5 linked regions of the Cricetulus griseus genome follow. The protein of the gene in region 1 purifies or fractionates together with the protein of each later gene. This does not show direct contact. Links are inferred from orthologs where the notes say so. Each region holds a gene or a part of one and is shown in the gene's direction. Other genes may lie near its edges.

The links. The genes of interacting proteins can lie anywhere in the genome.
Region 2: the proteins of Wdr48 (region 1) and Atad5 purify together in Homo sapiens (affinity purification with western blotting; 3 studies listed by BioGRID). This does not show direct contact. The link is inferred for Cricetulus griseus from reciprocal best matches to the Homo sapiens genes WDR48 and ATAD5.
Region 3: the proteins of Wdr48 (region 1) and Phlpp2 purify together in Homo sapiens (affinity purification with mass spectrometry; 5 studies listed by BioGRID and IntAct, with this or other methods). This does not show direct contact. The link is inferred for Cricetulus griseus from reciprocal best matches to the Homo sapiens genes WDR48 and PHLPP2.
Region 4: the proteins of Wdr48 (region 1) and neurabin-2 purify together in Homo sapiens (affinity purification with mass spectrometry; 3 studies listed by BioGRID and IntAct, with this or other methods). This does not show direct contact. The link is inferred for Cricetulus griseus from reciprocal best matches to the Homo sapiens genes WDR48 and PPP1R9B.
Region 5: the proteins of Wdr48 (region 1) and Rad51ap1 purify together in Homo sapiens (affinity purification with mass spectrometry; 5 studies listed by BioGRID and IntAct, counting the BioPlex papers as one, with this or other methods). This does not show direct contact. The link is inferred for Cricetulus griseus from reciprocal best matches to the Homo sapiens genes WDR48 and RAD51AP1.

What each region holds. Positions count from the first base shown.
Region 1 is NC_048597.1:227,013,659-227,017,993, forward strand, and holds the end of Wdr48 (WD repeat-containing protein 48), read left to right. Parts: intron 1-120; coding exon 121-197; intron 198-1,703; coding exon 1,704-1,893; intron 1,894-2,391; coding exon 2,392-2,487; 3' UTR 2,488-3,298; downstream 3,299-4,335. UniProt on the Homo sapiens protein: Regulator of deubiquitinating complexes, which acts as a strong activator of USP1, USP12 and USP46. Enhances the USP1-mediated deubiquitination of FANCD2; USP1 being almost inactive by itself.
Region 2 is NC_048600.1:93,536,223-93,541,147, forward strand, and holds the start of Atad5 (ATPase family AAA domain-containing protein 5), read left to right. Parts: upstream 1-1,799; 5' UTR 1,800-2,170; coding exon 2,171-2,236; intron 2,237-4,925. UniProt on the Homo sapiens protein: Has an important role in DNA replication and in maintaining genome integrity during replication stress.
Region 3 is NC_048596.1:186,232,218-186,237,114, forward strand, and holds the start of Phlpp2 (PH domain leucine-rich repeat-containing protein phosphatase 2), read left to right. Parts: upstream 1-1,771; 5' UTR 1,772-1,843; coding exon 1,844-1,942; intron 1,943-4,702; exon of another isoform or gene 4,703-4,722; intron 4,723-4,897. UniProt on the Homo sapiens protein: Protein phosphatase involved in regulation of Akt and PKC signaling.
Region 4 is NC_048600.1:108,169,583-108,174,476, forward strand, and holds the start of neurabin-2, read left to right. Parts: upstream 1-1,768; 5' UTR 1,769-1,886; coding exon 1,887-3,257; intron 3,258-4,894. UniProt on the Homo sapiens protein: Seems to act as a scaffold protein in multiple signaling pathways. Modulates excitatory synaptic transmission and dendritic spine morphology. Binds to actin filaments (F-actin) and shows cross-linking activity. Binds along the sides of the F-actin.
Region 5 is NC_048601.1:19,519,459-19,524,320, forward strand, and holds the start of Rad51ap1 (RAD51-associated protein 1), read left to right. Parts: upstream 1-1,736; 5' UTR 1,737-1,854; coding exon 1,855-1,871; intron 1,872-2,530; exon of another isoform or gene 2,531-2,648; intron 2,649-3,807; coding exon 3,808-3,863; intron 3,864-4,862. UniProt on the Homo sapiens protein: Structure-specific DNA-binding protein involved in DNA repair by promoting RAD51-mediated homologous recombination.

The sequences.
Region 1 (4,335 bases):
ACATTAAAAGTCCTTTGATTGTAAAAGTAGTTATTTGTAAATCATGTTTTCCTATTGACAGCATTTTAGTTTTATCAGCTAGTAGAAACTATTATACCTCTTAAACTTTTAATATTTCAGAAAAATATGCCCAAATTCAACAAAATTCCTTTCTACCTCCAACCTCATGCATCTTCAGGAGCAAAAACTTTAAAAAAGTAAGTAACCATTGCTCTTCTTGATTGCAGTCACTGCACCTATGGTCACGTGGTGAAAGGGAGACGGCTGCTGGGTGGGAAGCTGGTTATTGTGGAGCTTGTCCCCTGTCAGAATTTAGCTTAGCCCATAATTGCTGACTCATGCCTTTGTAGTCTCAGCACTCGGAGGCAGAAACAGGAAAGAGGCCAGCCTGGGAAATACAGTGAGTTCCAGGCCAGCTGAGACGCCATAGCAAGACCAAGTAAGCCGTTTGTGGTGGCTCACACCTGTAATCCCTATTCTTAGCGGTGGACAGAGGAGGATCAGTTCCAGGGCATGTGAGACTCTGTTTAGGACAAAACCTGTGTATAGTAGCTGCCTCTACAGACCCTTTAGGGAGTAAAGAGAAAGGGGTAACCAGCTTGTGAGCACAGCTTTCTGAGGTTTCAGGAAGGAGGAATCACCTGAACACGGGCGGATGGCTGTACTGCCCAAAGACACACTTCCCCGGCGGGAACAGGCTGAGGATACCAGAAGTGGTTGTGGGGATGCGTGTTCCCTCACATAGGCTGGAGTGGGGAGACATGACGAGTTAGAGGCTTGGTGACTGAATTTGAATGCCAGGTCACCATGACATACTAGCAGAAATTCCTGATAGGTAAGGTAGACAAGGCTCCAAGAGAGGCTTACGGCAGAGAAGCTGAGGCCAGCAAGGGAATGTGAGCCATAATCAGTATGTGTGTGACACCAGCAGGGCAGCTAAACTGTCCCCAGGGTTCCTGAGCTGGCCCACTGGCCAATGAGACACTTCAGGGTTGACCACCACGAGGGTCTGCTCGCCTCGACACTCCTGCACACGCACACACTGGATCAGTTCATAGCGAGCGTAGACACACTTGTAGCAGATTCATGACAGAACCCCAGGATCCTTGAAGAGTTTACACTGTAGCTATGAGGTTTGGTGGTGGTTGAATGATAGCAGAGATGAGGGCCTGGACGAAAGGGACTTCAGCTGTGTGATCCAGGACAAGCCAGCTGCTGGATTTGTGGTGTGGAGCCGCCTGGGGCTTAATGTCTAGCCTGGGGCGTTCATTGTCTGCTTCTAGTTGAAGACACAGCAGTGGGAAGTAACACTGAGCCCTGGTGGTTAATTGGTGGATCTGCCCAGGTCTGTCCTCGGTTCAGGCGCACACATGAAGGACTAAAATGCAGGTAGCTATTGTGTGTAGTACATAAGCCCTAGACGGGCACCATTGGAACTCTCTGACAACTCCCAAATGGATCCAGGGACTGAAAACATGCATTGGTTTCAGATGTCTGTACAAGAGGCTCTCTGTGAGTTCGAGGCCACTCTGGTCTCCAGAGTGACTGCCAGGATAGGCTTCATAGCTACATAGAGAAACCCTGTCTCAGAAAGAAAGAAAAAAAAAAAAAAAAACAGATGTCTGTACAACGTTTTTCTTTAGATGTTGACACAATGAAAATAATAGACTTTGTGGTATCAAAACATGCATTGTCTTTTCTAGAGACAGACTCTCTGCCAGTGACATGCTGCAGGTCCGGAAGGTGACGGAGCATGTCTACGAGAAGATTATCAACCTGGATAATGAGTCTCAGACCACCAGCTCTTCTAATAATGAGAAGCCAGAGCAGGAGAAGGAGGAGGATATTGCTGTGTTGGCAGAGGAGAAAATTGAACTTCTGTGCCAGGACCAGGTGAGTGGACCTGAGGAGTGTAGCTTCATCTCCCTGCAGAGGTACCCAGAAAGTCACACAACGTGTAACCGTGACGTGTGCTTAGATCCTCAAGCAGTTGGCCTCCTTGGGCATCAGCTTTCAGAGGCTCTCAAGAGCCCAGTCTTTTGCCAAGATTCTTCAGCGTACCCGAAGCTTTTCTTCATCTGAGGGAGGTGCTTGGGAAGAGGACACAGATTTACAGATGTCCACAGTAGGGCTGCACCTGGTTAACAGGGGCAAGGTCGTCTTGATTTGCAGGGTAGTATCTATCATGTTAAAGAATTTGGAGTGGAGGTGGGTGGTGAAGAGATGGATCACAGCTAAGAGGCAGTGTGTGTGCTCAGGTGGGGCTGAGCTGCTTCTGCTGGTGGATTTTTCAGATCCCATGTGTAAGCTGGGCCACCTGGCAGGTCCCTGGTTAAGGGTGGCTTTAGCTGTTAGTGACCTTGACGTTTTCAATGCACTTTGGCTGTTCAGGTTTTGGACCCAAATATGGACCTACGAACAGTAAAGCACTTCATCTGGAAGAGCGGCGGGGACCTCACACTCCATTACCGCCAGAAGTGCACGTGAAGGGGGGCCAAGTCCTGGGTTATTCATCAACCTTCCTCTGGGGCCCTGAGTAGTCCTAGGAAGCCCACCAAGCCCTACCGGGAGCAGGAGCTCCACCGGCCGATTTGGTGGAGTCACTAATCGAGATGTAATATAGAACCAGGCTCCATGCATAGATTAAGGTGTCCCCAGGGACTCAGTGTGAGGACAGGAGCCCCAAGCAGTCCTTCGAGGTGTGCAGAGACCTACAACAGCCGTGCGGACTTCACTGACCCCTTTTGAAGGCCCTCTGTCTCTTAGCACTTGTTAGAGAACATCAGCGGGGCCACATCTGTCACCGCGTTTCAAACCCATGAGTTCTGCGGCTTCTCTAAGTACATTCCACTCATGCAGTACCTATGAAGGCTTTTTCCAAATTTGTCATTACAAAAAAAAAAAAAAAAAAAATGTTTTCATCATCATGTAAGAGTTTTGTTTTAATGGGAATCATCACTGTTGCACAATTCAAGAACCAGCCCACTTTGTAAGAAATGACCATGTTGGGCTACTTTTGAAATACGGGATCTCAGCTGTGGTCTGTAGGAGGACCTCCTGCCACTGCACCTGTGTTGTGCAGTACTGTCCCATAGCAGCCCCAACAGCGGTGGCCACTGTCCTTCCTCCAGCAACCAGTCTTCCTCAGAGGCAGTGTCAGTGGGAACCACAGCCTCGCAACCTGGGTGAGCAGCACGATACTGTCCACTTAAGACCATGCTGAAGTCTCAGTTTCATTCAAATGCTACCTAAAGTTTGTGTTATTAGAGTAAAAAGATCTCACAGTCAGTTGGTTTGATATTTATATTGTGGTCCATGTTTGGTTTTCCAGTTTTATGCGTGGGCTTTTCCTGTACCTGCGTCCAGATCTTTTCCTGTCTTTCTAACAATCATAAGCTTTCATAGACTCACTTGGACTTGGAATTATTAACTTATTGGGGATAAACACTTCACCTTTGACAGAAAATACTTTGGATTCTTCTCAAGGTCCTTCTCATTCAGATAGCTCAGTGGTCCCCCTGACCCTCCAGAAGACAAACCTTGAACAAAGCCAGAAGAAGCACAAGTGCCTTCAGGGGCAGTTTATTCCAGGCCCGTCGCCTCCCTCCCCTGTGTGCTCTGTCCCCACGGGAGCAGGGACTGGAGAGGGCTTGTTCTCTTTTCCACATCTTCACAGGTTCCACTGGGGGCCGCTGGTGGGTCCAGGTCGGTCCCTCACAAAATGAGGCACCGATCCGAACAACTGCAGAACAGGGTCCCTCACTGCTAACTGTGGAGCTCAGACATGCCACGGCTTCCACACCCTCAAGTGAGCAAAGACATTTCCCAGGTGTTAAAATGTTCTTTCCTCAGAGCAACTGGCGTTTTTTCCTCTTACAGAAGTCCTTTTTATCTCTCTGTGATACAACAGTGCACTTTTGGTGCATCTTTTTCAGTGATAGTTATGAGCTAAAAGCAAGGGGGTGGGGGCGCCCCGCCCTCTGTTTGCAGGAGGGGCCAATGCACTAAATGGGTTTTACCAGTTCACGGCCCAGTGCTGAGCCATAGGCAGTTGGGCCCCTGTGGTGGATTTTACCCCCAGCATGGTTGTTCCTTTTTTTCCCCCTCTAGTCAAAATCAGTAAGAAGTTTCCAGAAAATTGGACAGTCTGCAATGCCAAAAAGGTCAGAGTCTGTATTTCAAGTTGTATAGAATAAAGCTTTAGTTAAAATACTTCAATGTCTTACACATTTATTTTTTTTACTTGTCATTTTCCTTCACATCAGATTAACAGGGAAAGAAACATCTAGGGTTCATATTTGAAACATCAACAGCATCCATCTTTACCCCACTTAC
Region 2 (4,925 bases), on another chromosome or scaffold:
CTGGAACTTTCACTGTAGACCAGGTTGGCCTTGAACTCAAAGAGATCTGCCTGACTCTGCCTCACAAGTGCAGGGATTAAAGGTGTGCGCCACTACTGTGCAGCCCAGTGTACACTCTCAACCCCTGAGCTACCTTTCCAGTACCATTTTGATTTTGCTTTTTTAAAAAAGATTATTTATTTTTTATGAACAAATGTTTTGCCTGCATCTATGTCTCTTTGCTATTTGCTTGGTGCCACAGAGATCAGAAAAAGGGTGATGGATCTTCTAGAACTGGAGTTATAGACTGCTGTGAGCTGCCATGTAGGTGCTAGTAATTGAACTTGGGTCATCTGTAAAAGGAGCCGGTGCCCTTAACTGCTGGGTCACCTCTTTAACCCCCTGCTCCATGCTTGGCTTTTTATTGATTTAGAGTTGCATTTTGGCAATGCTCAGGATTGATACCACCACCTTGTGAACGGGAGGTGTTTCTCCAATACTCTACCTTCCTAGCCCTCATTTCTTTTTATTGCTGAGAAGGATTCCATTGTATGGTTATGACATGGTTATGCCACAGTGTGTTTACTAACCTATCTGATGAAAGCATGAAAGGAGAAGTTCCATTGTGGGCGATGCTATAGAGCAGTTAAATCTTTAACCAAGGTAGCAGGGTTTTATACATACTCTTTGTAATGGTTAAATCATGGGCTGGGTATGTAGCTCAGTAACAAAGCACATGCTTTTTGTATCTGAGGGCTAGAGAGAGAACTCAGTTCTTCTTGCTCTTGCAGAGGATCTGGGTTTGGTTTCCAGCACCCACATGGTGTCTCAGGGGATCCAATGTCCTCTTCTGGTCTCCACAGGTACCAGGCATACACATAGTACATATACATACATGTAGGCAAAACACTCATACACATAAAATTAAAATAAATTTTTTTTGAGACAGGGTTTCTCTGTGTAGCCCTGGTTGTCCTAGAACTAAATATGTAGACCAAGATGGCCTCGAACTCAGAGATCTGCCTGTCTCTGCCTCCCGAGTGCTGGGATTAAAAGTGTATATTCACCACCACCACCTGGCTTTTCTATCTCTTTTAAACTTCTATTATTTATTTATTTGACAGAATCTCTTGGTTGAACTAAAACTCTATGTAGACCACCACCCGGCTTTTCTACGTCGTCTTAACTCCTTTCTATTTATTTATTCACTCACTCATTTATTTCTCTCTTTTTTGCTCTATCTATCTATCTATCTATCTATCTATCTATCTATCTATCTATCTATCTATCTATCTATCTATCTATCTATCTATGTATTATCAGACAGATTCTCTTGGCTGAACTGGAACTCTATGTAGACCAGGCTGTGCTGGAATTAAAGCCATTAAAGTCGCACTTCCTGGCTTTAAAATATAATTTTAAGAATGGCTACAGTCGCTGGGCAGTGGAGGCACCTTTAATCCCAACACTCAGGAGGCAGAGACAGGCGTATCTCTGTGAGTTCGAGGCCAGGATGGTCTACAAACGGAGTTCTGGAACATTCAGGACTCAAAAAAACAAACAAACGAACGAACGAACAAAAAAAAAATGCCTTATGTCTAAGTCTTAGTTCGGCCACCAAGTGACTAGGTAGCCTTAGAGAAATCACGTCCTGAATGGTCAAACTCGCCTGTAACACCGAGTCACGAACGTCTGAAGTCCCACTAGGATTCCAAATAGACCTGGTTCCGTCGCTTGCTGATTCGCCAAACGAAATAGTTTGGTCTTAGTGGCTCACCGTAGGCCCAGTCTCCAGAAGCGGTCATAGGCTCCGCCCCCTGCGCTCCGGACGGCGCGAAAACCCAATTGACAAGAAGTCCCAGGAAGCCCAAGGCCTGATCGGCGTTCCGTGTGCAGCGCCCACTGCGGCCCGGGGCTCGAACGCTGAGCCTGGAGCGCCTGCCTCGGGGTCACCGTGCACTGTCCGGCCGCCTCCGCGGGGCCTGCGCCCGCGCTTTCTCGACGAAGCCTGGCTGGACGGCCCTGGGCCCAGCCTCGCACTCGCGTCCGCCGGCTGGGCTCTGGGGGACCCGTGACGGACCCCGCGGCCCCGCAGCTCGCTCCCATTGCACCGGCCGCCTCCATGGCCTCCAGCCAGGCTGGGCCGGACCGCCTGAGGTCCTAGGATCCGTGGCTCTGGGAGGCAGGGATCATGGTGGGGGTCCTGACCATGGCGGCGGCTGCAGCTCCCCGTCCAGTCAAGGACTACGAGATTGAGGTGAGCTCGAGGATCTGTCAAGTTCTTTCCTGCCTGTGTTGGCGAATTGTGGCGTGGGGGTGGTGGGAGTCCTGCTTGCTTCTGAGACGGGGAAGGAGTGATGTGATGATCCGCAGCTATAATTTTGTGTGGGATGGTTGCCTCGGTGTATCGTGGTTAAGTCCTCAGTGGAATTCTCAGAAATTTTCGGGCTCGCTGTAAGCTCAAGATTTGAAAACCACTGTTCCCGGGTCCTGAAACATTGGTGGAATGACATGTCACCGAGGATCTCAGGCTCCAATTCTTTGTTCGTGATGTGGAATCATAGAACAGCGAAAAAGCTTTAAGTGCGTCTAGTCCGTACACACAAACATCTGTCCTAGGAATTCCATATGGAATGTCACTTAAGAATTAAGTGAGGTATTTAAGTCGGTTTCTCGAGGCTGCAGAGCTTAATGTAATGTAGTTAAGAGTCTCTGTGACATGTTAGGTGTTCTGTATTTACCGCGTTTCAAGAGTACACTAAGCTGAAGACAGTGCTTAATCTGGGAAGCCCTGGTTTACAGAAAGAAATAAAAATACACTAAGCAACCATAATGATATTCTATGCGATTAAGTAGTGGCTAGGATCTTAAAGTACATGGCTGATATGTATATGTAGATAGAAAAATACCCAGGCTGGATTCGGACCTACTGATCCTCCTGTCACCACTTTCCAAATGTTGGGATTACAGGCTTGTGCCTCTTCATAGCTGCTATGTTTTTTTTAATATACCATGTCTCAGACTAGCATTTTAGTTAATGTGTTGTGGTGCCTTTGAAGTGAGCTAAGATGTGTGCTCACTTCAGTCCTAACTCTTTGTTTTGTTTTTGTTTTTCGAGACAGGGTTTCTCTCTGTAGTCTTGTCTGTCCTGGAATTCATTCTATAGATCAGGCTGGCCTAGAATTCAAAGAGATCCTCCTATCGCTGCCACCTGAGTGCTGGGGTGGAAGGCTTTCAATACATTTTCAAACTTGTTTTTATTTCTTGTTACGTTTATAAATTTACAGTTGTGTATTGGTAGTATGGAAATCAGAGGACAACTTGTAGGAGGAGTCAGTTCTCTTCGTCTACCCTGTGGTTCCCAAGGCCTAAACTCAGATTGCCAATTTGGCAGCAAGTGCTTTTATCTACTGGGCCATCTCACTGGCCCTGTTTTAGTTTTTAGACAGGATCCCATGTAGCCCAGGCTTGTGCAAGCACAGCCAGCTTACATTTCTTTGTAGCATATTTAGTAGTTTCTAATTATAATCCTAAGAACTTGGTTTCAAAAATATTTCTTTTTCACATATTTTTTAAATGATTTATTTATCTTCATTTTATTTACATTGGTTGCCCGTATGTATGCCTGTGTGAGGGTGTCAAATCCCCTGGTGCTGGAGTTACAGACAACTGTGAGCTGCCATGTGGGTGCTGGGAGTTGAACCCTGGTTCTCTGGAAGAACAGATAGTGCTCGTATCTGCTGAACCATTTCTCCAGCCCCATCACATGAATGTTTTTAATTTCTATGGCTATTTAGTCATTGTTGTGCCGTAATTATGGCACAAGCAATTATTGATGACTTTCTCCATTCCAGATCCTGTGTTTTCAGGATCAGTCAGCCATGCTTCTTCCCAGGGGAAGTTGCCAGTTTGTGTTGCTTGCTCCATAGTCACAGTTCTGTTGGGATGATATGACAGACTTTGGAGATCCCCCATGGAGGTCCTTACCCTCCCTGGGGAGCAGAGGGGGGATGGAATGGGGGCTTGGGGGTTGTTGTGGGGAGGGGGAGAAGGGGAGGGAGAGGGAGCTGGGATTGACATGTGAAGCAAGCTTGTTACTAATTTAAAAAATTTTAAAACAAAAAAAAAAAGAAAAAATAGATTTCCATACTAGTAGATATCAGGGCAGGTACTTTAACTTAATTCTGACTTGAATGTCTGTTGTGTGATGTCTCTGACACCATCTCAAAGCTTTATAGACCATAATAATAGATTCTTTTTTTAATTCACTTATTTCAACATACATAGTTTTGCTTGTATTTTACCTCATTTATCTAAATGGTCAGAATTTGTCCCACTATCATCTCTTAGTCTTTTATCTGTTAATTTGGATGTTAGTTTTACCACTTAAATTCTTTTTAAAAATTATTTTTGCTACATTTGCTTATTTATTGTAAGTGCAGGGGTCAGCATATGTGTGGAGGGCAACTTGTGGGAAGAGGTGCTCCCTTTTTACCATGATCCTGGCAAATCAAACTAGGTTACTGGGCTGGACAGCAAGTACCTTTGCTTTCTGGGCCGTGTCGGAGATCCCCTGTATGAATTCTTACATAACCTTGTCTGGTTTTGCTTTTCAGACACACTCCATTGAGCTTCTTGCCTACTTGTGCAGCATCAGTACTATGCTTTTAACCACAATAGCCCTGTTAATTCATTTGAATTTTCTAAAAATAAAAATTTCATCCTTATTACTTGTCTTTAAAAATAAAGTTTTTGTTATTTTGGCAGATGTACTTTTTCAAATGAGCTGAGAAATTAGATTGGTAGTAGGATGGAAATATAGCTCAAGGGTGAGTTTATTTAGTATTGGAAGGCTTGGGTTCAATGAAGCAAAAGACAGAAAAAAGTTAGGGCTAGAGCAGTAGCTTAGTTGGTAGAGTGCTTGTACCAGGAGGGAGTGGGGTGTG
Region 3 (4,897 bases), on another chromosome or scaffold:
ATGAAACAGTATGAGACAGAACCTTTGAAGCAAAATTTCAACTTGACATGTAAATTAACTCCAAATTAAAAAACATCTTAAGACAGGTGAAAGTCCATAATTAAAGTACTCCAGACAAATAGTTGGACCAACAAAGCTGAAGTAGTGGATTGCCTGTTATTGGAGAACTTGTTTTGCTTTTTAGTTTCTTACAAGTTGACTGAAATTCAGCCCATGTGTAAGAGAGGAAGCCCTAAAAACAAAGAGGTTTACAAGTCTTACAAAATTTAGGAGCAGTTAATGCTAGCGACTTGGGAAACTAGAATTTCAGAATTATAATGGCTACTATGAATCACTGAGTTAGGCTCTTTGTGTGTCCTCCCCCCCTTACATCTTGATAACTGCCAGGTAGACTAAATTTAGTTCAGAACTAGAGGGAGGGGCTGGTTAAGAACCAGAGTCAGAGGTTAAGAGCACTGGCTCCTCTTCCAGAGGACCAACTTCAACTCCCAGCACCTAAATGCCAATTTACAACAATCTGTAATCTGGGTCCAGAGGTTTTGACACTGTCTTCTAGTCTCTACTACCAAGGGTTGTATAGGTCTAACACCCATAACATAAAGAAAGCTGGGCATGGTGGTTCATATCTGTGCTTAAAGCACTTGTAATGCAGGGAAGGAGAATCAGAAGTTCAGGGCCAGCTTTGGTTATATAGTGAGTTGGGGGTCAGCTTGGGCTACAAGTGGCTCTGCCTTAAAAAATAACCCGAAAGAATTAGATTAAGTAATTTAGATCTAAAATGGGTACAACTAAGATTTGAAATTAGGCAGACTCATAATTTGGTCCATTAACCACAAAACTACTATCGCTTCAAGAACTAAAAAGAAAAGCCAACCTTTAAATTTTGTTTTTGTTTTTGTTTTTTCGAGACAGGGTTTCTCTGTGTAGCTTTGGAGCCTATCCTGGCACTCGCTCTGGAGACCAGGTTGGCCTTGAACTCACAGAGATCCGCCTGCCTCTGCCTCCCGAGTGCTGGGTAAATTAAAGGCGTGTGCCACCAACACCCAGCCTAAAAATATTCTTTACTGAGCCAGGCGGTGGTGGTGCACGCCTTTAATTTACCCAGCACTCAGGAGGCAGAGGCAGGCGGATCTCTGTGAGTTCAAGGCCAGTGTGGTCTACAAAGTTACACAGAGAAACCCTGTCTCGAAAAACAAAACAAAACAAAACCATTCTTTGCTGAGTTAAGCCTTGCAAAATAATATGGCTTACACAGCATTAATATGTTTGAGAAAAGAATTCTGCTACTTTGACTTCAGTGGACATTGAAATGTGGCTGGAGAGCCAAATGATGTCTGCATACTTGAGGTTGTTTGCTGAAGAAGGTCGCAAGCTATCTCCTAAGAGAGGTAAGTGAGTATATGCAACAGTTCTTTCACTGTCAGTGCGAGCAAAGTGACAGACACATTTAAAAGCAGGAAACGTTTCAGCTAGAGAATCGGTGGAGGGCAGCATCTTGGCTATCTTAACAGGTACAGGCCTCACCTGCCTCTTCCTCTGCCTCTTCTTGAAGCACCTAGAAAGCAACAAATTGCTCTCTCTGCAGCCTAGTCCTCTAAGCCATGGGTGGAGCGTGGCGGAGGCTAACCCTGCAGTGGCGCCAGGCTCCCACAATTCTGCTCTGGCCTCTGCAGGCCGGCAGCTACGTAGGTCCAGCGGGGGCTAGGGGCGGGGCCGATAGGGGCGGGACGTCGGGTTAGGGGCGGGGCCTAGGCGGAGGGGTGAGGCCTCCCGCCGCTCGCGCGCGCCTCCGAGGCTCGCGCGCTGTAGCGCCGGCCGGGTGTCTCTGAATCCTTGGCCGCCAATGGGGGAGGTGGAGCCCGGGCCCGGGGGCCCCCTGGAGCCCCCGGAGCCACCTGAAGCGGCGACGGCTCGCCGGCCTGGAGGGATCCGGGTCCTGAAGGTGAGGCGGCAGAGAGCGGGAGGACCGGGTCCACCTTCGCCAAGCTGCCCGAGGCAGCGGGCGCCCCCCGCCCTGCGTCCCTTGGCCGCCTGCATCGGGCCGGGGCGCCGTGGGCCTACTGTGGTCTCTGTGCCGCGCCCCCGCCCAGGCCTCGGCCGCCTGGGTCCCCGCTGCTGGCCATCCCTGGCCGCCGCCCGGCAGGCCCACGACTCGGGCCGCCGCTACCCCCCACCCCCGCCCTCGCATCCCCGGGGCCGCCGTCGCCTCGTTGGGCCTAGCCCGGGGGCCCTGGTGCCGGTTCCGGGGGGCTCGGAGGGCGGGCGGCTCCTGGCAGGAGCCAAGCGTGAGTACGCAGGGCTAGGCGGACACCTGAAGACATCACCCCAGCCAGGGGATGGCGGCGGCGATTGGCCAGGCGCCGCGGTGTGCGCGGGCTGTGCGGGCTGGAGCAGCCACACTGCCCTCGGGACTGGCTACCCGAGTTCCGAACCAGCTCCAGGCTCCAAGGCGCGATACCCTGCGCTCCCCGCTCAGAGACAGTCCTGGAGGATCTGAGCCTGGGGACTCGCTGGGCGTGTTGCGGGGGTGGGGGGAGGAGGAGCAGAGCCCGAAGGGGCACTCCTGCCTGGCTGACAATCCGGGGAGAAGGCAGTGGGGGAGCCGTTATGCAACAGGCAGCTAAGCGGGGCTTTTTGGTAGAATCAGGGGAGTAGGAGGGTAGGAAAACAGATCCAGGCAAAGGGGGAGTGGAACCTTGAAGGTGAGTGATGACAAGAAGTTTCTATGCAGGAAGAATGCAGAAGGTGAGGTGAGGTGAGGTGAGGTGAGGTCAGCAGAGATGGTTAAAGGGTGGCTAACTGGGTGGAGTTCTCCACTAACCTGTGAAATAGTGCAGACAAATTTTCCTGTAGGTTCAGTATATAAATCAAGTGAAATGAAATTCCTCTAGTGTTCTAGAAGAGGAATCGTCAGGATTTAAAACTTGCCAAAGAAGAGGGGGAAGAAAATTGAGATTTAATGTGTTTCAAAAACAGTTTGCCAAACATCAAAAATACATATTGTTAAAAGCAAACATTAAGTAATTGAGATTGTTGTTGAGTAATACTTCCTCTTATTAAGATTATTTGTAAAGTAGCACAAACATAGGAACTCCAGAAAAGTAGATTTGACGCACTTAATGAATTAATGAAACCAATACTCAGTAAAATGTAAATCATATTTTCTTCACCTCCCAGTCTTAATGCATATAGACTTAATTGTTACCCACACTGGAATTTACTCAAGCATAAAGGAGTGTAATTACTCAAAGTCTAAAGGAGTGTAATTACTCAAAGTCTTCTGAATATTTTAAATGATAGCAAATAGCAAACTATAAATTGTGAGTAAATTCAATATAAACAAAAGTTCTGCAGGCCTAACAGCAGGAAATAGTTTTGGGAGGCATGTTTTGGTATGTAAAAGATGAGCATCTTTTTTTTTTTTTTTTTTTAACCATGTAACCTTTTGGGGAAGTGTTGAAGTGGCAAATTGTGTGAAAGAGAAATGAAAATCTTTATTGAAGACTATGTTTCCTTGGTTTCCAAAGTTCCCATTTGGGGATCATTAAAAAGAGTCTAGTGATTGGTCAGTCTTGATTCTTGATCAGCACTGAGCTCTTGAGAGGAGAGCCTATCTGGAGCCCTTTCTAGCCCTTGCTTTCTTGCAAGTGGTAACACTCTAATCCTTGTTAATAAGACCATGGAAAATAGGTCTTGTGTGTTCCACATACAGAAGTTCTCTTAAGTTGCTGGGTGGCTCACTTTCTCAAGTGCAGCCCATAAAGAATACGTAGGTAAGCAGAAAACTTTCTGAACCTTGAAGAATGTCATGGTTGCCCACATGTTTTTCTCTGAAGATGTTTCTAAAGACTTCTGGACCCTAAGGGTGTAGCTGTGGGTTAGGAGTGAGGCTCCATGGTAGAGGGTGTGCTTTGAATGTACAAGGCTCTGGATTTACTCCTTGGCCCCAGCTTCAAAATACTGATTTAAAAAAAAAAAAAAAGGAAGAACACTTTTTATTCCTTTTATATTTACACTCAATACCAAATCATGAACATTATTCTCAAGTCTTCATAAAAAGCATGACATAACTATGCTAACATAACTTATCCAGACTACATGAAGGACCATCTGCCTGTACTGGGCATTGGAACATTTTATTCAAAATATACTCCTAAACCAGGGAGTATGTTCAGAAGGCTAACATGAGAGATCATTTAAGCCTAGGGCAGCCTGAACAACATAGTAAGAGTGTATCTCAAAGTTCTAAAATTTATCAAATTACTGAACCAGGCTCAAAAGGTCTTCAGGGGGTTTTGGAGAGATGGCTCAGAGGTTATGAGCACTGGCTGCTCTTCCAGAGGGCTTGGATTCAATTCCCAGCACCCACATGGCAGCTCACAACTGTCTATAACTCAAAGTCCAGGGGATCTGACACCTTCACATCAATGCACATAAAATAAAGTTAAATAAATTTAAAAAAAGGTTTTCAGATATTTCCTGTGATTTTGAGATTATGGTTTTGTTAAGCAGGGGATGATAGGAAGTTACAGCCAATCTAATTTGTGATTATTATGATTTTTTTTTTCCCCAAGACAGGGTTTCTCTGGCTTTGGAGGCTGTCCTGGAACTAGCTCTTGTAGACCAGGCTGGTCTCGAACTCACAGAGATCCGCCTGCCTCTGCCTCCCGAGTGCTGGGATTAAAGGCGTGTGCCACCAACGCCCAGCCTGACTCTTAAATTGTAAGTCTTTGTATACATGTTTGATATGATATGTGATTATAATTGTGTTCACTTTTGGGTAAATTTGTGATAACAGCTTTTATAAAAGTAAAGGAGAAAGGAAAGTGTCTTCAAATGAGCAGTTTTAAGCTAGTTGATTCTTAGAAGTTGAAGTCTTCTTAGAGGACAGTGTCAC
Region 4 (4,894 bases), on another chromosome or scaffold:
CAGGCCAACGGGAGAGAGTGGGAGAATGGGAAAAGGAGGAAGAGGATGGAGGGGAAGAGGGCGGGGGGAGGAGGCCGAGGCCGCAGGAAGGCCTGAGATGCAGGAAGCAGCTGGAGGGGAGGGGGGGGCGGAGAGGCTTTGTGCCTGAGTTGTTCTCTGGGTCCTAGTGTCCACTCTGTTCCTCAGTTCCTGGGATCTACAGACCCAAGCAACACACACAATTCGACCTGAATATTGGATGGATCCTCACTGCCAGGTTCCAGGCAACTGGGGAGGGATAATGGGCAACACCAGGTCCCTTGTGTATGTGAGGAATGAAGGAACTCTAAAGAAGCTGAGTTTTCAAGAAGGGATTTGTTAGGACACACACTTGGTTGTTGTTGCTTTTTCGAGACACGGTTTCTCTGTCCTGGCACTCTAGATCTGCCTGCCTCTGCCTCGCAAATGCTGAGATTAACGTACCCCCCCCCCTCAATAGGGAAACTTTGGTCCCAGGCCTCTAGAATCATTCCTTCCTACACCCCCCAATCCCGTCCCAACTCTTCCTGTTTTGAGAGATGGTTTTCTGGCAGGTTATGAAGGCCAGGATTCGCCACTCCTCTCGAAGCCTGAAAAAAGAGTGGGCAGGTGAAGAGCACCATCTTAAGACTTTCAACGGCAAAGGGAGCTTTGGAAATCTCCTGTCACTTGGGTGATGTAAACCCCCCTTTTCTTCATTTCTCCTCAGCACCGCGAGTAATCCTGGGCCAAAGTTTTACATCCTGGAAGATGCAAAAAGTGCCCTATAGGGAGTTGTTAAAATGCAGACTCCCAGGTCCTGCCTCTGAGATCCCCTGCCCTAAGTTTGGAAGGAGCTAGAAATATGTGCTTTGACCTAGCACCCAGCAGTTTTGACGCTGATAACCCTGAACACTCTAAGGACCTTTGAGTGAGTGATTCAGGGCTCCTCCTCACAGAACCCCTTCATATTGGGGGAGGATCAGGCCAGGCAGGATCCAGACGGCTGTGTCTGGATGGTTCCCCGCCCCCCAGGGTTAAATGAGGGGACGCCTATGTGGGTTGTGAAAAGCCGCCGAGTTTGGGATGGGAGGGTTGAAGAAGAATAGCCAAGGTCCGAGGAGCTGCGGAAGGCTGTCCGCCAACTATGAGTAGGAGAGATGAGGCGACAGGGGGGAGGGGAAGGGGAGGGCTCACAGGCTCCGGCCCCGGAAATCCGATCCCTTTAGGACCCAGTGGTGCCAGTCCCCCAGCGGCGGCGGCGAGAAGGGCAGCCGCTCGGTCTCCGGCAGCCGCGGTTCGGGCTGAGCTAGAGAAAGACCGAGGCTCGGGGCGCGGGGGAGGGAGGGGGGAGGGAGGCGCGGCGGAGCGGCCCGGGTCAGCGGAGCAGCCACGGGCGCGGGGATGCCGGGCTCCCCGAGAGTCAAGGCTCCCGGCCGGAGTAGGGGCGCCCGCGCCGCCAGCCCCGCTGACACCGCCTCGGAGGATGTGAGCCGGCGCCGCGGCGGCCGCTGCTTCGCGGACTGGGCGCGCGGTCCCAGCGGCTCCAGCCAGCCTCCGCTTCTCCAATTTGGGTGGGGGCGACCGCACCAGGCCGGCCGCTCGAGCTTTCGAAGGGGGCTGGCTGTCTTTGGCAGCTTGGTTGGGGAGGCGACCCACACAGGGCGCTCCGAGATTTTTTTTTTTTTTTTTTTTTTTTTTTTTTTTTTTTTTTTTTTTTTAGAGCAGGGTTAACTGTTTTTTGGCAGCTTGGTTTCTGGGGGGGCTCTATAGAAGGCCTTTCGGGATTTCTTTATTTTGGGGAGGGGGGCGGTGGTCCCGACTTGGCCAGCCGCCTGCTGGAGGGGGGCAGCGGGGAGCGGGGGGATGCGAACCCGGCTCCCCCCACCATGATGAAGACGGAGCCTCGGGGGCCCGGGGGTCCCCTCCGGAGCGCCTCCCCGCACCGCAGCGCCTACGAAGCGGGCATCCAGGCACTGAAGCCTCCCGATGCGCCCGGGCCCGATGAGACACCCAAGGCGGCCCACCATAAGAAATATGGCTCCAACGTCCACCGCATCAAAAGTATGTTCCTGCAGATGGGCACCACCGCGGGGCCGCCTGGGGAGGCGGGAGGCGGCGCAGGCATGGCCGAGGCCCCGCGGGCGTCCGAGCGCGGCGTGCGCCTGTCCCTGCCGCGGGCCAGCAGCCTGAACGAGAACGTGGACCACAGCGCCCTGCTCAAATTGGGCACCAGCGTGTCTGAGCGCGTGAGCCGCTTCGACTCCAAGCCCGCGCCCTCGGCGCAGTCGGCTCCGCCGCCGCACCCGCCGTCCCGGCTGCAGGAGACGCGGAAGCTGTTCGAACGGAGCGTCCCCGCGGCCTCGGGTGGCGGCGACAAGGAGGCCGCGGCTCGGCGGCTGCTGAGGCAGGAGCGCGCCGGCCTGCAGGACCGGAAGCTGGACGTCGTGGTGCGCTTCAACGGCAGCACCGAGGCGCTGGACAAGCTGGATGCTGACGCCGTGTCGCCGACGGTCAGCCAGCTCAGTGCCGTCTTCGAGAAAGCCGACTCGAGGACCGGCCTTCACCGTGCGCCCGGCCCCCCCCGGGCCGCGGGGGCGCCCCAGGTCAACTCGAAGCTGGTCAGTAAGCGGTCCCGGGTGTTTCAGCCACCGCCGCCCCCTCCTGCCCCGTCGGGGGATGCCGCGACCGAGAAGGAGCGAGGCACGGGAGGGCAGCAGCCCCCACAGCACCGAGTGGCCCCTGCCCGACCGCCGCCTAAGCCGCGGGAGGTGCGCAAGATCAAGCCGGTGGAGGTTGAGGAAAGTGGGGAGTCTGAGGCCGAGTCGGCCCCCGGGGAAGTGATCCAGGCCGAGGTGACCGTCCATGCTGCCTTGGAGAATGGCAGCACCTCGGCCACCACAGCCAGCCCCGCTCCCGAGGAGCCCAAGGCCGAGGCCGTCCCCGAGGAGGAGGCAGCGTCGGTGGCGACGCCGGAAAGGGGGGTGGACAATGGCGGGGCCCCGGACGTGGCCCCTGAGGAGGTGGATGAGTCCAAGAAGGAGGACTTCTCAGAAGCGGACTTGGTGGATGTGAGCGCCTACAGTGGACTCGGGGAGGACTCTGGGGGCAGTGCCCTGGAAGAGGACGATGAAGAAGATGAGGAGGACGGTGAGCCCCCCTACGAGCCGGAGTCAGGGTGTGTGGAGATTCCCGGCCTCTCAGAGGAAGAGGATCCGGCCCCGAGTCGGAAGATCCATTTCAGCACCGCACCGATCCAAGTGAGTGATCCCCCTCGGGGCCCCCACGCTGCCCCTGCCACGTGCGAGTGGTCGCCCCCGCCACTCGCACAGACATCCGTGTTTGGCAGGTTGAGTCAGCCCCTGCCACCCAGCTGGGTTCCCAGAAGTTCCCACAATGAGGGGGGCGTGGGGGACTTCCAGCTGTTTGTCAGAGTGGGAAGGTTTTCAGGTCTGTGTTTGTGAAGGTGGCCTGCTGCGACCTGCCCTCAGGTTCCTAGCCTGCTGCCCCGCCCAGCATCCTGCCCTGTCCCACGCCTACTCTGGGACACCTGCTCTCTCTTCCTCCCCCAGACATTCTTTCTTCCTGAGGCTGCCAGAGGCTGCCAGAGGCTGGGACTTGGCTGGCCTGAAGGGGTGTGGGATGCGTCCTCAGGATACTGTTCCTGTCCTCAGGATACTGTTCTTGCGTATGCCCTACTGTCAGGGGAGAAGGATGGGGAGCTTAGGGACACTTCCTGCTTCCTGATGTGTAAGGCTGGCTCTGCCTGGGTTGAGAGAGGGGAGCTAGGAACTTCCCAAAACAAAGATATGGGGGACTGCAGTCCTGCCCTGTCAGTACCCCCACCCCAACTTTGCAGAAGTGAAAGAAGGAAGCAGACTGTGAGGGTGAGCTGGTCCATTGCCTTGTGACTGGGCTGGGGGAAAGACCCTATACCTCATGGTCTGTGCTGGGCCAGCTTCCCATGTCCAGGGTTGCACCGGAAAGGGGCATCTTATATGGCCCTTGAAGGAGTAGGCCTTCTGCAGGCTCCACAGAAGGGGGGTGGTGGGCCTGAGAGTTGCCCTAAGGTGTTGGCAGACATACATGCCTATAGCCTTAGGAATCTACCCCTTCTCATATTCCCAGGCTACTTTAAAAGAGGAGGGGGACTCACTTGGATGGGAGGGTCCAGCCCCCTATCTCTAACACCACTATTGGTGATTGGTTTGCGAGCAGAGCCACTCAGTGCTTTGAGATCTTCTGAGTAGTGGTGGTAGAGAAAAGATGTCCCCTGGGGAGAATTAAGAACAGGAGACCACTCCCATTTCCCACTACCCTGTGAGCTCAGCTGGCACTTCTGCTGTGATGGCCTTTTCTTCCCAACCTATGCTTGATTGTGCCTAGCACCTGACCTGCTAAGGTGGGCTGGGTGGCTGTATACAGCACTGAGGACTTTCCTTGGCCTGGACCCTGCCCCTCCTTGCCCTCCCCAGCCAAACCCCATGTGTTTGCTTGCAGTTTCCATAGCTACTCCTGGACACCAAAGCTGCCCAAGTTTCTCTCACCCTCTACTGTCTCCCCTCCTAGGCCAGCAGAAGTCTAAAAGGTTAAGGGTGGACAGCTCCCTCCCCAAATTCCCTGCCTGGGAATTTGGAAGACTTCTCCATGCCCTGTTCCCTCTGAAGGCAGGGAGATCCAGGAAGGAGCAGAGACTGTGGTGCTCTTGGGAGGGTGTCAGGCCATTGCCTCATCCCCATGGGTTCTTTGAGTAGCCCCATGCCCTCATAGAGAGGAGTGTGGTCTGGGCCTCGTCTATATCTGACGCCTTACCCTGATTTTTTGGTAAAAAATAGCACATGATTTGGAGCAGTGCTCTGGACTCCCTGGTGACTCTGGAACAAGCTGGCCACTAGTG
Region 5 (4,862 bases), on another chromosome or scaffold:
GGAAACCTTCCCCTAGCAAAGCAGAGTTGTTACACTACAGTCTGGGGGACTTTCGCTGGGGAAGCCCTCCCCTGCTGGAGCAGAGCTGTTACACTGGGGAAGACTTTCCCTGGAGCAGAGCTGTAAGTTGCTATGCTTACTGTATCCTGTGGTATTCCTTGGCTCCCCATTGCCAGAATACCTTTCCATCTGAGCTGTAACATTCAGTATTCTGTGGCTCCCAAGTGCCAGAATACATTTCCATCTGAGCTATAATGCTTACAGGCTCCATAGGAGCAAATCCTGGTACTGTAATCCTGGTCAAAAACCCATAGCACATAAAATCACAGATCCTAGGAGGAACCCTAAATACCACTGCTGAATTAGAGTGACAGTCAACTCAACCACCTTCTAAATATTGGTACCCATAGACAATGCTACTCTCAGCCTTACTCAGAGAAGTATCTCTTTCCAACGAACAGTAGTGAATTCAGAGACTCATGGTGACACAAGGTGCTGAGAAGAAGTGACGCAAGAGTGCTCAGCCCCAACAAGACACTGATAGCACCCGTTTTGAAGGCTCAAGGAACATGGCAGCAGAGGGAGTGGAAAAATACAGGAGCCAGAGGATAAAGCAAAGTTCGACAAAATGCCACTTTCTGGGCAAGACCCCGCCATTGCAGTCATAAACTCACTGCAGCTTTGGACGCCTGCACTGGATCCGCATAAGAATAGGGCCCATCAGCAGCTAAGGGAGGACTCAGAAGGACCCAAGCTTTGCTGGAGATCAGGGGAAAGGGAGTCATTGTCTTGAGCTGTGTGTTCACTGGTGCCCCCACCAGGATCCAGAGAGTAGTTGCAACCCAATGCTCACACATCTGGTCTGGTTAAGTTAAAAGGGTCACAAAACCAAACCAAGAATCCCGAGAATCTGGAAAGCGCACTGGTAGGGATGCGAAGGTTCGGAGCAATGCTAAGCTGGCAGGGGTGGGAGGGGCATACGGAAGGGGAAGGAAAGAGTAACCAAGAATGCATTACAAGCATGCAACAGAACAAAATTAAAAAGAAACATTTTCATGCTATTAATTGGCTTATGAGGGTCCGTCGACCTCAGGATAAATTCATCTTAAGCCAGCTTACATCTCCGGGTTCGTCTCTGGGTGTGCTTACACCCTGCCAGACCGACGTGCAACCTGCACACCCAGTGCCCCCCGTAAAGTGAACTGTCAACGTCAAGCTGCACTTCCGCTCTTTAGGCAGTGCCCAGGAAACCTGCTCGGGTTCCCTGAGCCTGTAACAGGTGCTCTCACGGGGACCTCCACAGTGACGGGGTTTCCTCGCGGTTGGCATGGGCTCACCTCTTTCCTCAGAAGCCGAAGCAGACTTGGAGCTGTCAAAGCCGAGCTGCCCGGTAAATCAGCTGACTTCGTGCTTGTTTGTAGAGCCAGCAGATTCACTGTGGCAGATTCGCTACTCTCGGTTCCCCTTTCCTCACACCCCAAAGAAAACTCCGACCCAAGAGCCCCTTTATGCCGTTGCTCTTCCAGTTAGTCCTTATAAAGTTGGAGGGGTGTTACTACTTTTGGACTCTGTACTAGGGTCGGTACCAAATCGCCGTCGTGACGAAAGCGCAGCGGCAATCCAACCCCGGGGCCGGGGCCGACAGGATCCGGAACGCCGTGCACCGGGGGAAGGTGTGTGTGCGCAGGCGCGCTCTTCCCAGCACGCAGGCGCCGCCTCCGGCAGGCGAGCGCTGATTGGCGGGCTGGCGCGGCGGGGCGGGGAGCGCCGCGTCCGGTTTTGGGCGGGAATTGAAACCGCCGCAGCTGCTCTCCGGCTCCGGATCGCGGCGCCTGCGGCCTGAGGACGGGCACCATGGTGCGCCCTACCCGGTGAGTCGCTGGTGACGTCCCGCGGGGCAGGGGGATGCGCGGGGGCACGCCGGAGGCCGGTGTCGCTCGGGGCTGAAGGAGGGGACCGTCGCCAGCCCCCGCTGCGGAGTGGCGGACCCAGCATCCTGCTTCCCGCCCTCGGCCTCCCTTTGCAGCTGTTGCCTGTTTTATGGCCCCCAACCCTTCCCTAGGCAGAAGGGCCCGTTTGAGTCGTAGTGACCCGTCACGCACCTCCAGGTCCTCTCTGCTCTCCGTTGTACGGTTGCAATCTACTGTCCGTGATCACGGCTGCCATCCGCCCGTTTAGTATATAACCGAAGCTATGGCCCGGGGGTGGAGTGATTGCCTAGTACATGAAAGGCCCGAGGTTCTATCCCCAGTACTGCACAGCCGACCAAAAATAGACTTAGTGAATTCACTTTGTACTGTACTAAGAGCTGGAGGTTACCCTCGTGGAAGACGGGGCCTGGGGCCAAGTCAGCACCCAGTGGGAAAGAGGAAAGGCCTACTTCAGAATAGACAAAACCTAAGAGGCATTCTCGGTAGATAAGTAGAAGCCAAGGCCCTGGAGCTTGGCCATGCTTGAGAAAGGAGTTTGGATTTTATTCTAGACCAATGGGAGATGAGTAGTTTCAGCATAGGCAGGTGGGAGTTATTCTGACTTTACTTTTATAAAGGTCACTGGCTGTTGGTAGACCTGAGTGGGAGCAGGAGTGTGGAAGGCTAACTTATCACCAGATTGTGACTTGACACAGTGTTTGTGTGGAGATGGAGCAGGTGAGTTTAGGTACCTCTGACAAGCTGATATGGAGATGTGGAGACAAGGACAGAATCAAGGTTGTCAACTTGGGGACTGAGCTACGTGGTGGATGATTTTTGTACTTACCTTTTTTAGGAGGCTTTTGGTTTTATTTACTAATTGTCAGTCCCAGAGTTTTAAAAGATGCTGTCGTATTTCCTGCAGCTGTCAAATGTTTAAACTCTGAAGGGTGGGAGAGTGGCATGGACACCTCCTTTAAGGTGTGTGAGGCTGTGGGAAGGCACACACGGTGGTTCACCAAAGGACACACAACTGGACAAGTCTCTTTGACAGAACTCTGTTTTTGCTTGAAAGAGCAGGCAGCTGGAAACAACAAGCTTGTTTATATGGGGCATTTAATACACAACAGAAGGGAAAACTGGACAACTTTGCATTACTTTCCTAGAGGGGGGAATCATCCTTTTTTTCACATTGAGAACCTTTTCTTCTGCCTACAACGACGGGAGGAACAAACTATTTTAAAGTGTCCATTCCATTAGAAAGACATTATTTGGTATTATGGAAAGATTTCTTTTAAATATTGATTTTGTTTTTAGGTGTATGTGTGTGTGTCTCTGTGTCTGTGTGTGTCTGTGTGGGTATGTGTATATGAGTGCAAATGCCAGAGGAAGCCAGAGGATTTTTACCCCCTAGAGCTGGAGTTACAGGTGGTTGTGGGCTGCCTGGCATGGATGCTGGGAACCAGATTCAGGTCCTCCAAAGGAGCAGTACATATTCTTAACCACCATGACTCCACCTCTAAGGGATTTTTTTAAAAAAAATATGCTAAAACTGAAGAGATACTTTATAATGTAAACAAAGAACGAGTACAAAGTAATTTATAAATGCCCAATAGCCACTAAACAGAATATAAGTTTTAATTGATAATTATTTGTGTTCTCCTTATGTTGGGGGTTTCCTGAATTAATTTTTTTCCCACATCATGTCTATTAGGTATGGTTTTGGCTTTTCAGCTAATGCCAAGTTCTTGGTGTTAAATGCAAATAATATTTTGGATTAAAGTACTTCTAGGAGACTTCAAACACATTTTCCTTTCTTCAAGACTATTAATAACTTTAAGGTGAAAGTAAAAAGTTAGTATTTGTATTAATGAAGATTTTTCTGTCTTGATCATAGAAATAAAAAACCAGTCAATTACTCACAGTTTGAGGACTCTGGTGGTGACTCTGATGGTAAGTAGAGCATTTTACTTTTGCTTAACAGATTGAGAAATTTATTTCCTCAGAGTTAGATATGGAAAAATTAGACTCTGAAAGCTTAGGAGGCTTAAGCTTTGCCGTATTATGTTTGTCTTTGTTGTTAGAACTTTGATCAAAGTTTGAGAAACATTTCATTAAGTTACTATGTATTTGTAGTAGAATACTTTTTTCCTCCATGTGTGCTGGCGATTAGTCCCAGGGCTTCCCGTGTGCTTAGTAAATACTCTACCACTGAGCTATAACCTTATCCTAGAAGTAAGTTATTACACTTCCTTTCCACACCAGCATAGTTTCCTTTAAGTCGAGCACTTTAGTAATTTCTCTGTTCAGAGAAATCTCTTGCATTAAGTGGGTCTTCAACTTGAGAAAAATACTGTATAGCAGATAACTTTTAGCCTCTATCACTGTCAAAGCTATGTGACCAGGTACTTACAGGTTGCCAGTTGTGTTCATGATACTAGGTGGGGTGGAATGTGCAAAAAATTCTAAATTATATTTCTGTATGTGGAAGTGCGAAAGAAATATGTTAATTGTTTTTAAAAGTATGTGATCCTACATTCGTGTGTCATACATGGGTTTTTTTTTTTTTTTTTTTGAGTATCCCGAGAAGGACCACAGGAGTCTTGAAAGGGCTGTGAGAAGTAGCAGTGGGTTGGGAGAGTTGATCGGAGCAGAGGAAGGCTGTGGGTATCAGATAGACAGCCAATGTGGAGCCACTTGGGCTGGTCAGTGGTGCTTTCTGTTCCCTTAGGCTTGTTTTTTTACTACTGATGTACCTTTGTAAACATGCTGGGCTACATTGTGGAGTTTAGTTAAATCATTTCCTTCCAATTTTCATAATGGTTCTGTAGGTTTTTAGTTAATTGTTATGTCTGACATTTATGAACTGTCTTAATTTACCTTTGTAGTTTGCAGTGAATTGGATTTTGATGGGATGATATTTCTAAAAAACAGGCCACTATTCATCTTGAG